3 linked regions of the Danio rerio genome follow. The protein of the gene in region 2 purifies or fractionates together with the protein of the main gene of each other region. This does not show direct contact. Links are inferred from orthologs where the notes say so. Each region holds a gene or a part of one and is shown on either strand. Other genes may lie near its edges.

What was found.
Region 1: the proteins of fam98a (region 2) and atxn2 purify together in Homo sapiens (co-immunoprecipitation; 3 studies listed by BioGRID and IntAct, counting the BioPlex papers as one, with this or other methods). This does not show direct contact. The link is inferred for Danio rerio from reciprocal best matches to the Homo sapiens genes FAM98A and ATXN2.
Region 3: the proteins of fam98a (region 2) and atxn2l purify together in Homo sapiens (co-immunoprecipitation; 3 studies listed by BioGRID and IntAct, with this or other methods). This does not show direct contact. The link is inferred for Danio rerio from reciprocal best matches to the Homo sapiens genes FAM98A and ATXN2L.

What each region holds. Positions count from the first base shown.
Region 1 is NC_133180.1:42,538,996-42,542,655, reverse strand, and holds part of atxn2 (ataxin-2), read left to right. Parts: intron 1-1,929; coding exon 1,930-2,303; intron 2,304-3,660. UniProt on the Homo sapiens protein: Involved in EGFR trafficking, acting as negative regulator of endocytic EGFR internalization at the plasma membrane.
Region 2 is NC_133192.1:24,534,737-24,538,350, forward strand, and holds part of fam98a (protein FAM98A), read right to left. Parts: intron 1,637-3,614; coding exon 1,452-1,636; intron 1,004-1,451; coding exon 923-1,003; intron 814-922; coding exon 697-813; intron 574-696; coding exon 406-573; intron 1-405. UniProt on the Homo sapiens protein: Positively stimulates PRMT1-induced protein arginine methylation. Involved in skeletal homeostasis. Positively regulates lysosome peripheral distribution and ruffled border formation in osteoclasts.
Region 3 is NC_133178.1:14,057,286-14,060,945, reverse strand, and holds part of atxn2l (ataxin-2-like protein), read right to left. Parts: intron 2,282-3,660; coding exon 2,160-2,281; intron 2,070-2,159; coding exon 1,978-2,069; intron 1,570-1,977; coding exon 1,336-1,569; intron 1,235-1,335; coding exon 879-1,234; intron 790-878; coding exon 715-789; intron 1-714. UniProt on the Homo sapiens protein: Involved in the regulation of stress granule and P-body formation.

The sequences.
Region 1 (3,660 bases), on a different chromosome or scaffold from region 2:
AATTGTGTCATTATTTTCTCACCCTTCACTAACTTCAGACCTGTTTGTTTCTTTCTCTTTTAAACATGAAACTTTTTCTTCAAAATATCTTTAACTGTGTTTAACAGAAAGAATAAAAATCTAAACGAGTAAAAAGTAAATAGTAAAGTAAATAGTGAGTTATTTTTTCATTTTTGGGTAACTGCTTTTTTAACTATCCTTTTAAGCACAAGTCAAAAAATAAACATTTCCTTTCACTGCCAATTGTTTATCGATTCTGTTAAATAATTGCAAAAAGCTGACAGATGACATTAACTTATTACATTAGCAGTCCTTATTAACTTAAAACGTACGTTCTATCTTTCTTTATTACGTGGCTATGTTCTGCATGTGCTTTTCACAGTGACGCATGCACTCGCATTCAGTACAGAACAAGCGATTAAACTGATTAAGAAACCCTATGTTACGTTACTTGGGTGGTAGTTGATGATATTGTGGCTTATTTTCTTTATCACCAACAAGTGGATTTATTGCTGCCGTATCAGCAGCACAGCACATACATAATTATCCAGTTGTGAGAAAATGCAAAAGCATTGAAATGTATTTTTTCTCCCATTGGCCTGCCAGGCAGGTGGAAATGTATTTTGGTTGCCTGGCTAAAAAAAAAACAATAGACCGGGACATTGGACTAACAAATTTTGTGAGCTCTGTGTTGCTGAAAAATATAAAATTATTATTGATATATTATTTTACTACATTTGCCGGAGGGTATGTGTATATTGTAAAGCTTTCTTGTTATCAAGTTAATGTGATTAATTTAAAATTATAATATAGCAAAAACTTTAGTGCCCCCCACCACCCATAACACACATAAATTTACATGTACTGAAAAGATATACATACATATTTTTGCTGTATTTTTGGTCTTAAAAACAAGCACCATTTTGTTTTTCTATTATTATTAGGACTGTCTATTGATTTAAAGATTTAATCATAACTGCATTACAACATCAGGGACCTAAGTGTGTTTTTTGTATGTGTAATTTATAAAAATGCGCCGATATGAAAATGATTCGCAGAAGCGTAATGAAGTACATGGCCTAAGACCAAATACTAAACATGTTTCTTATAGTTTTTTCCTCATATACTTTGCTAAAGTTTCACTATGGCTTTAATTAAACAATAAAAATGACAGTCAATTTGGTCTTGGTTTTCAAAGAAAAGAATCAATTACAGAAGTACAAGTGAAAAATATTGTAGCAGACCATACATTTATAATACATACATTTAATATAGTAAATCTGTAAATTAACATTATATTTTTTTTATTTAATTGAATATTTTTATGCCCTTCTGTAGCTTATGGACATTTTATGACTTTTCTGAGGTAACAAGTAATTTGTTGTGACATTTGTACATGCTGTTTAGCTACTAACATGCAGCAATGTTGCGTTTTAATGCTTGAGGAGTTGTCTCTGCAAACCATCTACTGTAGTGTGGTCTGTGAGGGTGAGAAAAGTTGTCTGTTTCAGCTGTATAAATCACCATCGAGTGATATTTTAAGCTTTCGGTATCACATGAATGTGGTGAAAACTTAATTCACATTGATAGTAAAAGCAGATAACTTTTTCTTGTAGACAGGGCTATAAGACATCATGTTTGTAATCTTACCATTTGTACATTTTTCATTCTCTGTAATTTTCAACTGGTGTTGCATCTTTTACTGACTGCATGGGTTAAACAAAAAACACGTGCTGCATTAATAAAATTAGCCCTAATAGTTCTACATACATATAAATAAAGTGTACACACATAATGATATGTGACAAATACAAATGCCTTTTCTACAGGTGACTTTAGTTTATATTTATTTATTAACATTCATATTTATTGGATTTAATTTAGACAGTTTTATCATGCGTTATAAGCATTTGTACTTGTGTGTTTCAGTGTCACAGACCCCAATTCCTCAGCAGTTTCCCCATCCAAGCTCCACCCTGCACCCTCATCCACAGCACCCTCAGCCCTCTGCCACCCCGACAGGACAGCCCCAGCAGGGTACCCAGCACGGGGGCAGTCACCCGGCCCCCAGCCCCGTTCAGCATCAACAGCATCAGGCGGCCGCCGCTGCTGCAGCTCAGGCCATCCACCTGGGCAACCCACAGCAGCAGCAGATGTACTCTGCTCTGGCAGCCACCCCACCCTCCATGACCCCCGGCCCAAACCCACAGTCCCCTCAGGCCAGCTTCCCCTCGGCACAGCAGGCCGTCTATATCCACCCGCAGCATGGGTACAACCCTAACCATATGGCTCATGTGCAGCAGGTGAGTGCTAGTCAGTACTGAAGCCAAGGTTACGTCCAACTTTTACCACACTTTATGAGGATTTTCTAAAGCACATTATGGGTTGCACTTCTGATTTAGGAAACTTCTATTTAAAAAAAACAGAACCAATTCACTTCAGATTAAAAAGTTGCTCTACCAATAATGCATTGTGCCTAGAGAAATCTGAGTGAGAGGTGGGTTTGATTTTGTGCTTCATTTTTTATCTAAGTCAACATAACTCTTGGTATTTAAATGCAACATTATTATTGCTGACATATCTATGGTCAAAACTCTTGTGTTAGCTATGTTTGTTTCTCTGGATTCTTTTCTTTCTGTTTTCTACAGTACAGTAATACTCAGTGTGCCGTGTATCCGGAGAGTATTCATAGCGCTTGACTTTTTCTACATTTTTTTATGTTACAGCCTTCTTTCAAAATGGATTCAATTTATTTATTTCCTCCACATTCCTCACAAAATACCCCATAAGGACAATTATTTAATGTGGTTAAATTTTATTTAATATACAATCAAATATAATATTATGATAATGTAATGTAATAATAAATAATAATAATTTTATTACAAAATAAAATAATCATCATGGAGCAGTTTAGCAGTCAGATTTATAAACAAAATATGTGTTCTTTTCTAGTTGTAAATTCATTTTACAAAATTTACTTAGAAATTATTTTTATTTAATATGTCGAAAAGAAGATTAAGTGATATAAAAAACAGCAGTATAAATAAATATGTTGTCACAGTGGCGCAGTGGGTAGCATGATTGCATCACAGCAAGAGTGTCGCTGGTTTGAGCCCCGGCTGAGTCAGTTGGGATTTCTGTGTGGAGTTTAAATGTTCTCCTTATGTTCGTATGGGTTTCCTCTTGGTGCTTCGGTTTCCCTCACTGTCCAAAGACATGCGCTACAGGTGAATTAAATATAGATGTTTCCCAGTGATTGGTTGTGGTTGGAAGGGCATCTGCTGCGTATAAATATGCTGGATAAGTTGCCGGTTTATTCCGGTGTGAAGACCCCTGATTAATAAAGTGACTAGGGTGAAAAGAAAATTAGTGAGTGAATGAAGAAATAAATATTAAATGCAAGTAGAAAGGGTGCATTTAGGATTTGGGCCCTTTGGCTGGAATTGCTTAAGGCCCCACACTATATCAGCTCCTGATAGTACATTACAGTACAGCTACACATTTATTTCCATTTCCCCTGTCAGTAATATCAAAAATGAAAAACTGTACTATACAGTTTTTTGGAAGGTTATCTGGCACAACAAAAGAGTACCAAGGGTGGAGCTAGACTAGCTGCTAAATGCTATTCGTTTACAGACAATTGACATTTGTGTATGC
Region 2 (3,614 bases):
ATGTGTGAATTGGTAAATCACTAATTTAACATAAATATAATTTGTTGTACAAGATGTTAGATTTCTATATTTTGCATTATCAGCAACAGTAGCAAAGATCATTTTTCGTATTGAATATTTTTCCTTTTTTCAGCTGGTTATTTCTTGATTTTTATTTTTATTAAAATTACAGCTTATAAGTTCTGTTTGTTAAACCAATTGTTTTGCAGTGACATTTTTATATAAATAGAAAGAAATTACATTTGTCTGAAAAATTGCCAAATCCATGACTCAAAAACCACAGTGTGATTCAAACATTGAGATTTGTGATCCATTACACCATTATTTGATAGACAGCCAGACAGATGAACGGACGGACAGACAGACGGAAAATAAAACAACAAAGGTCATTCTAAACTAGCCCACCTTGTTGATGGCACAGGCTGTTTTCTCCCTGGTGTGGCCACTGCTGGTTCTCAGGATCTTTGATAAATCTTCTCTAGCAGCAAACAGGTGAGCCACAGACACTCTGGTTTTTGTGGCCAGTGCCACACGAAGAGGCTGGTATACTTTCGAAAGTTTATCAGCATGCGTCTGAAAATAATTACAATAAAACTTCGTCCCTTTCATTTAAGGCACATTTTTTACTTGGTCTTTTAGCTTAATTGATATAAATGTGACACTTTGTTTTATATTATAAAAGAGAGATCCTGATACCTTGGCTCTTTCTGACCAGCCAAAAGACTGAACAGTCACATCCAGTCGTTTCAACAACATTTTCCTTCTGACTTCATACTCATTCTCAAGTGCTTGGTTAATTGCTTCAATTTTCTCCTGTAGATACAAAAAGTCCCATCAATGTATGTAATGCTATAGTCAAAATAATATTGAAATCAAACATTTTCTAGAGATTATATAAGATAACATTTAAATCCCAGCTTACCCAGTGTACAGGGCCCAGTGGTTTCTTCATAAGAGGTTCTCCTATATGAGATGGAGGGACCTTGGCCAATGCTTCCTTCAGCTGTTGGAGAAAACATACAGTAATATATTATTAATAGACTGTTATGCTATCTTGGATTGGTGCATTGTAGTGTTTATTTATAAGAATTTTCTGTCACAGTTACAAGCATGTGCCCTGAATAGCATCGTAAGTATTAAAAATAATAGTTTAAAAAAATTGATATAAAGAAAGTCACTAACAACTGAAATGGAAATATGAACTAATTTACTAAAGCTAAAACAGAATTTACCAACATGAACATACTAAAATTAAATCAGAAACTGAAAAAGGAAAACAAAAAGGCATTATTAAATCTTAATAAATACTACCATACACCAAAAAAAGCATTCTGATGAGAATAACTCCCAAGTTCAGAGGTTTTACTGTATTATTGTACTTTACTCTTACAATTACGTGTGCGGACTCATGACATGCATAGTAATATAAATCAGCTGAGAATAAATCTCACCTTTTTCTCAATACCACTGAAGAACTGGAACATGGTGATGTTGGATGGAGGTTTGGACATGCCCAGAGCCATACAGATGCCCTTCAGCTCCATGAACACTTTACTGCCTCCCGTCTCCTGCACCTTCTTCTGAGGCTGATTCACCACGATCATCCTGGATGACTCCAGCTCAGAAATCAAGAAGCCTGGAAGGATGGTATATATATCAATCAGATTTATGGAGATCTTGAGCTAATTTTATTTTGTATTATTTTTAATTAATCACTTCGCATTTTAATTTTAGCTAAAATAGTTGTGGATAGAAAGACAGACAGACAGACAGACAGAAAAAACTACATTTGCAAAAAATATATATTTTAAATGTACAGGAAGCTTTTTTCTCAACAAGAGGAAATGTTTTAATTATAAATGCCATTTAGAGCCTAGTATTTTTCTTAGCAAAAACAACGCAAGACAGTCAAGCAGTTTATGAACACTCAACACCCAATGTGAATTATTAGACTGGGAGTTCTTAAAATTAAATTCAGTCGTATCTAAATATAATTTAAGATTTATTAAAATTCAGTTTATATTAAATATATTTTCTGTTCATTAAAATGTATGACCCTGGGTGTATTAACCATTTATTTTGAATCTACAATCTTTTGTAAGTGATTTGTTTTTATAATGAAATGGGATTAACATTTTCTAATATGTAATTAGAAGCAAAGTTCCTAATTAAAAAAATTAAAATCTAAAAAAATAAAATGACAAAATAATGGCCTGCACTGTAATCCTTTTAATGTCATCAAATAATTATTGTTCTAAATATGTCTACGAAGATTTAATCAAAGGTTTTATTGAATGACATTTTGGCAGGTGTTTTCTGTAAAATGTGTAGAAAATACATGATAGTCAATTATAAAAGTGTTTCTAGCCACATGTCTGATGTCACTTGTTTTTATGATTATTGTGTCGGCTTTGACCTGTATGCATGCAGTAATTCATGTACACTGTTCTGATAAAGTTTTTATTAATTTGCTTTGTGTTTTAGTCATTTTTGAATATAAACTAAAAATAATTAATAATTACATATGAGTAACACAGCCTTGACAAATAGCTGACATTTATCAAAGTAGTATTATTTAATATTACTTTCAGTTAAACATAGCATGATTAATCGAAAAAAGGTCACAATCTCAATTCGACCTCTTACAAAATCTTAATCCAGCATTTCAACAATTCAGCCAATTACATTTTCAAGTTCATGAGAGAAGCGAAAACGTAGTCGCACAAGCCTTCACATTGTTTTACATATGTTGCTAAGCAAATAAGGTACCTCGAAATGGTGTTGAAAGAGTCACATACTGTATTTCTAAGGTATAATTCACCTAAAATGTAATTTCTGTCTTCATGTAATGATGTTTTCGCGACTGCAAAAATCACACGGGAGCTGACACATGCCCATGTCTACTTTAGTGAACAGAACCTACATAGGCTGTAAATAACAGACAGTAAAGTTCTAAAATAACATTCAGTTTGTTGCACAGAGCTACACAGATAGTATGATTTGTATGTGTGATTTTTTCCCCCTCAAAGGCACAGCAGTCATGGCATGAATCGCACTCAGCAGTAAAAGTGAAACTGAAAGCTAAACATTATATAAATAATCATATCGCATTTTAGAGTTATGATTACGACAAGTATTTGACTTGTAACTGTCAGTATAACTACTCTATCCTATATAATGTTGAATATAATGCAGGAGGAAATCTGATAATGACAAATGTCTCATTTTATCAGTGAAAAAAAAATGGTCTAATAATCTTGTCTATGACAAATGACAAGCATGTGTCTTAAACATAATAATTCAACATTAGAACTATTTATAGTTGTGAATTAGCATCCAGGATAAATTTAAAGAGCCCCTATTATACATTAAAAAGGGTCATATTTTGGTTTTATGTGTCTCAAACAACATGCTGATATGAATGCAAGGTCAATACACACTTTCATGGTCTTATAATATGCATTTATTTTTAGCAAATTATCCCAGCGATATGATATGATTCATTCAGCGTTTCATTTGTTCCCAGAAAGTAGAGAAAATAACACTAACTTTCCCACATACTTCCAATAATATCCAGCAAAGCACAGCGTCTTCATGACTTGATCCAACTGGGA
Region 3 (3,660 bases), on a different chromosome or scaffold from region 2:
AAATGAATCGAGAAACGAATCATATGGGAGTCGTTGGGATAATTAGGTAAAAATAAATGCATATTTTAAGATAATGAAAGTGTTTTTGACTTTGCATGCATGTCAGTTTGTTGTTGGAGACCCCTAAAACCAAAATATGACCCTTTATAATGCAAAATAGGGGCTCTTTAACATTCGTAATTACACAGCTGTCTGAAATACTTGATTCAATTTGGTGATAGCGATCTTTCAAATTATATTATTCCTGGTACTTTGATTCATCCTGACAGTCAGGGAATGAGTTCACTTGAATATTTATATCCTCATCCGTCAAGACGTTTTGACTCTGTGACTGAAAGATTTGTAGGTTAGTGTATATGCTCAATCAGCTCCATTCAGCTGGTTTTGTTTGTCAGCTTTGCTTTAAAGAATGAAACTATTATGGCCTAGAACAAATGTTTTGAGTCTAATTTTTACATTCTGTGGCAAGAATGCATATATAAAGTGGGATAAAGTACTTCCAGGCAGTTTTTTTAAAGCTCAGATAAGCCTGTCAGGTGTTATTCTGTGATGATAGCCTCCAAAATGTACTTTATTCCTTACTTATAAGCCAGATGGTAAAGTAGCAAAAATTACAAAGTCAGCTACCATTACGGAGGACAAATAAGCATGATTAAAAACCGTGATCACATTGCAAAAGACCTAGTGTGGGTACAGAAGATCTGTTTGGTTTACCTGTAGGGGAGGAGTGGGAGTTTGAGGTACGCATGTTTCTGTTAGTCTGTCCAGTCCTTTGAGACTTGGGTGAAACTGTAAAAGATCAACATGTTCATTAGTAACACACAAAATGGAATTCAGCATAATAATCTAAATAACATCAAATCGTAGACGCAATTTACCTCCATTGACAGGCCGGGCCACATCTGAGAGGGACTGAGGGTGTGAGAGTGAATGTGAGAGTGTGTGGGGGGAAGGAGGGCTGGAGTGACCCGGCTCTGAGGGCCGGGACTGTGTTGGCGTGCTGCTCTGTGATTGGTGTGTAGAGAATCCTCCTCTGACTGACAGAGAGCTGTTCCTATCAGTGGGAGGAAGGGCCTGGCTGTTAGCAGAGGGGAGGGGTCTAGGGGAGGAGCTTGATGGTCCGGGTCGATTTGTTCGATTAGGCAGGGTGGACACAGCCCCACCTCTTTCACCCCTGCCAGAAACTCCCATCTCTCGCTCCCTTGCTCTCTGGGGAGGAATGTATTTGCCCTCCCTAAAATAAAACAAAGATAAACAGACATCAACAACCAGAAGTAAAGAGAAAGACTATATCATATTGCAGCTAGAAATTAAATGAATAAATGAGTGTCAAACCTGCTCCCAGCACTGGAGAACCCAGGGCTATCTCTTCCCCTTTCTCTTTCTGCTGCTTCACGCTCCCGGTCTCGAACCACTGCACTGAATTTGTCTTCATCAGTTCTTCCCTCATCATTCTCCAGCGCCACTCTGTGGCGATACTGTGAACTAGCCTCGATCTCATTGGCCAATCGGGCGGCTCGAGCTTCTCGCTGCCTGAAGCCCTCAGAGCTTCCCCGCTCCAGAGGAACCCTATGAGAGAAAGACAATAGAATATGATGAAAAGTTCAGCGAGAGTTAAACAAAAATTAAAACTCAAAAAAAAAAAAAATGTTATGTTTGTTTGCATGTTTCAGCGGCATTTTGGCAGCCCTGGTTAGATTCATGGAAACAGTAGTAATATATATTCAATACAATGTTTACAATCATAAAAGTTTCTAAAGCATAATAAAAAATACAAATACCAATACTAATAAAGATCTATTAGAGTCTTGAGTCAAATAGATTCTTGGATTCAGTTCTTTATATTTAAGATGCCTAATGAACTATCTGAAAAGGTATTAAAATCTTTTTGATCAAATCTAAAAACCACCATGATCACGACAAGGTCAGGCACCCTGAAAAAAAAACATCTAAAAATGAACAAAATGATCAACATACGTGTACATGGAGAGACTGGAGTCATAGGTGGACTTCACCCCATAGGTCTCCTCATTAAAGCGGAACATCTCACTGGCATCCCAACCATTAGCCTGAGATGGAGAAAAAGAAATGCAAAAGGCATGTGAAACATCCATTGTGACCAATTACTGCTGTGTTTACAAAGAATGCGTGAAACTCACTGTGTCTGCATCTAAGTCAAAGTTCTCTCCATTGCTGTCGCCTCCATCCCACCTCTGGAGGACCTTCTCTCTGTGGTCACCGTTTAATCTTGATGAGCCAATTGCAGAGTCTGTGAAAGTGTCTGAAAACACACACAAAAATCATATAATAGGTAAATCATCATATTATAATGATCACCATAATAATAAATAATCTGTTACAAGAGTGAGACTTTTGAATTTGTTGAGTTAGGATTGCGTTGTGGTGTTAGGATTGTGTTTTATGTCTGTTCTAGGTTGGGGAATGCCTTTAGCGCACATGACGCTCGTCAGCTCCCTTATTTAAACACAGTAAGAGAGTTTGTCTGGGCTGCTGTTCATTCACTGTTTGGCCAGTTGGCCAGAGCTGTGCTCCAATCCGGGCTTTATGTTTGTTTTGCAGCCATTCACTTGCTTTTCACACTGATTAAACATACTGATAGGGATGTTTTGATTGTTATTTTCAATTATGTTAAAATAAATATGATTTTTAACTTTATTTCGCCGTGTCGTCTCCCTTAATGTCACATCTTTGAGCCAGGTGTAACAGTTGCCATATCAGACTCTCTGGCTATTTCATGGCAAAACCGGATCAAATATACAGCATTTTATAAATATTGCTTTTCCATAGTAGCAAAGAAAATCTAACAATTAAGACATCCATAATACATAATAGATAAAAAATATCTAAAACAGCTTTAAAAGGTTTACTTTTAATAAAAAATATGCCATTTATGTTTAAAAATATTTCCTTTAAAGTTTCTCCAGATAACTTCTGATAACAAAAATAGTGGCTGGGCATATTAAGAGTACATGTTTAACAGTTTGGTTTCTGTTGAATACAGACACTTTGGGGGAAACTTCTTCGAGTAAATATTCATGAGTAAGTCTTGAGTGTCTAATATGGAATGTCCGAATCATCTTGTGAATTTTCTCCATACTTTTGGCTGGACTTTAAAAAGTTTATTATATCTCATTCGACTTGTGATTTGTTAAGAATATAGCTTTTTATTAGTAGCTTTAAATCTGAAGGTGGGATTTGGCACTTCTTCATTCTTCCTGTTTTTAAGGCTGACATGTCCTGGGATCCAGAAGAAGACTAGATCATAAAAGTTTCTCTGTAGTTCATTTCTCTCTGTTACAATGCCACACAGAGTTTAACAAAGATTTTGAAACAAATTTCTAAACATAATAGTTTTAATAACTCATTTCTAATAACTGATTTAGTTTATCTTTGTCATGATGACAGTATTTAATATTTTACTAGATATTTTTCAAGACACTAGTTTTCAACTTAAAGTAACATTTAATAATTTAATTAGGTTAATTGGGCAAGGAAGTGTAATCAGGCAAATTATTGTATAATGATGGTTTGTTCTGTGGACAATCAAAACAAATATTGCATATGGGGGTTAATAATATTGTTCTTAAATAGTTTAAAAAATGTAACACTGCTTTTATTCAAGCCAAAATAAAACAAATA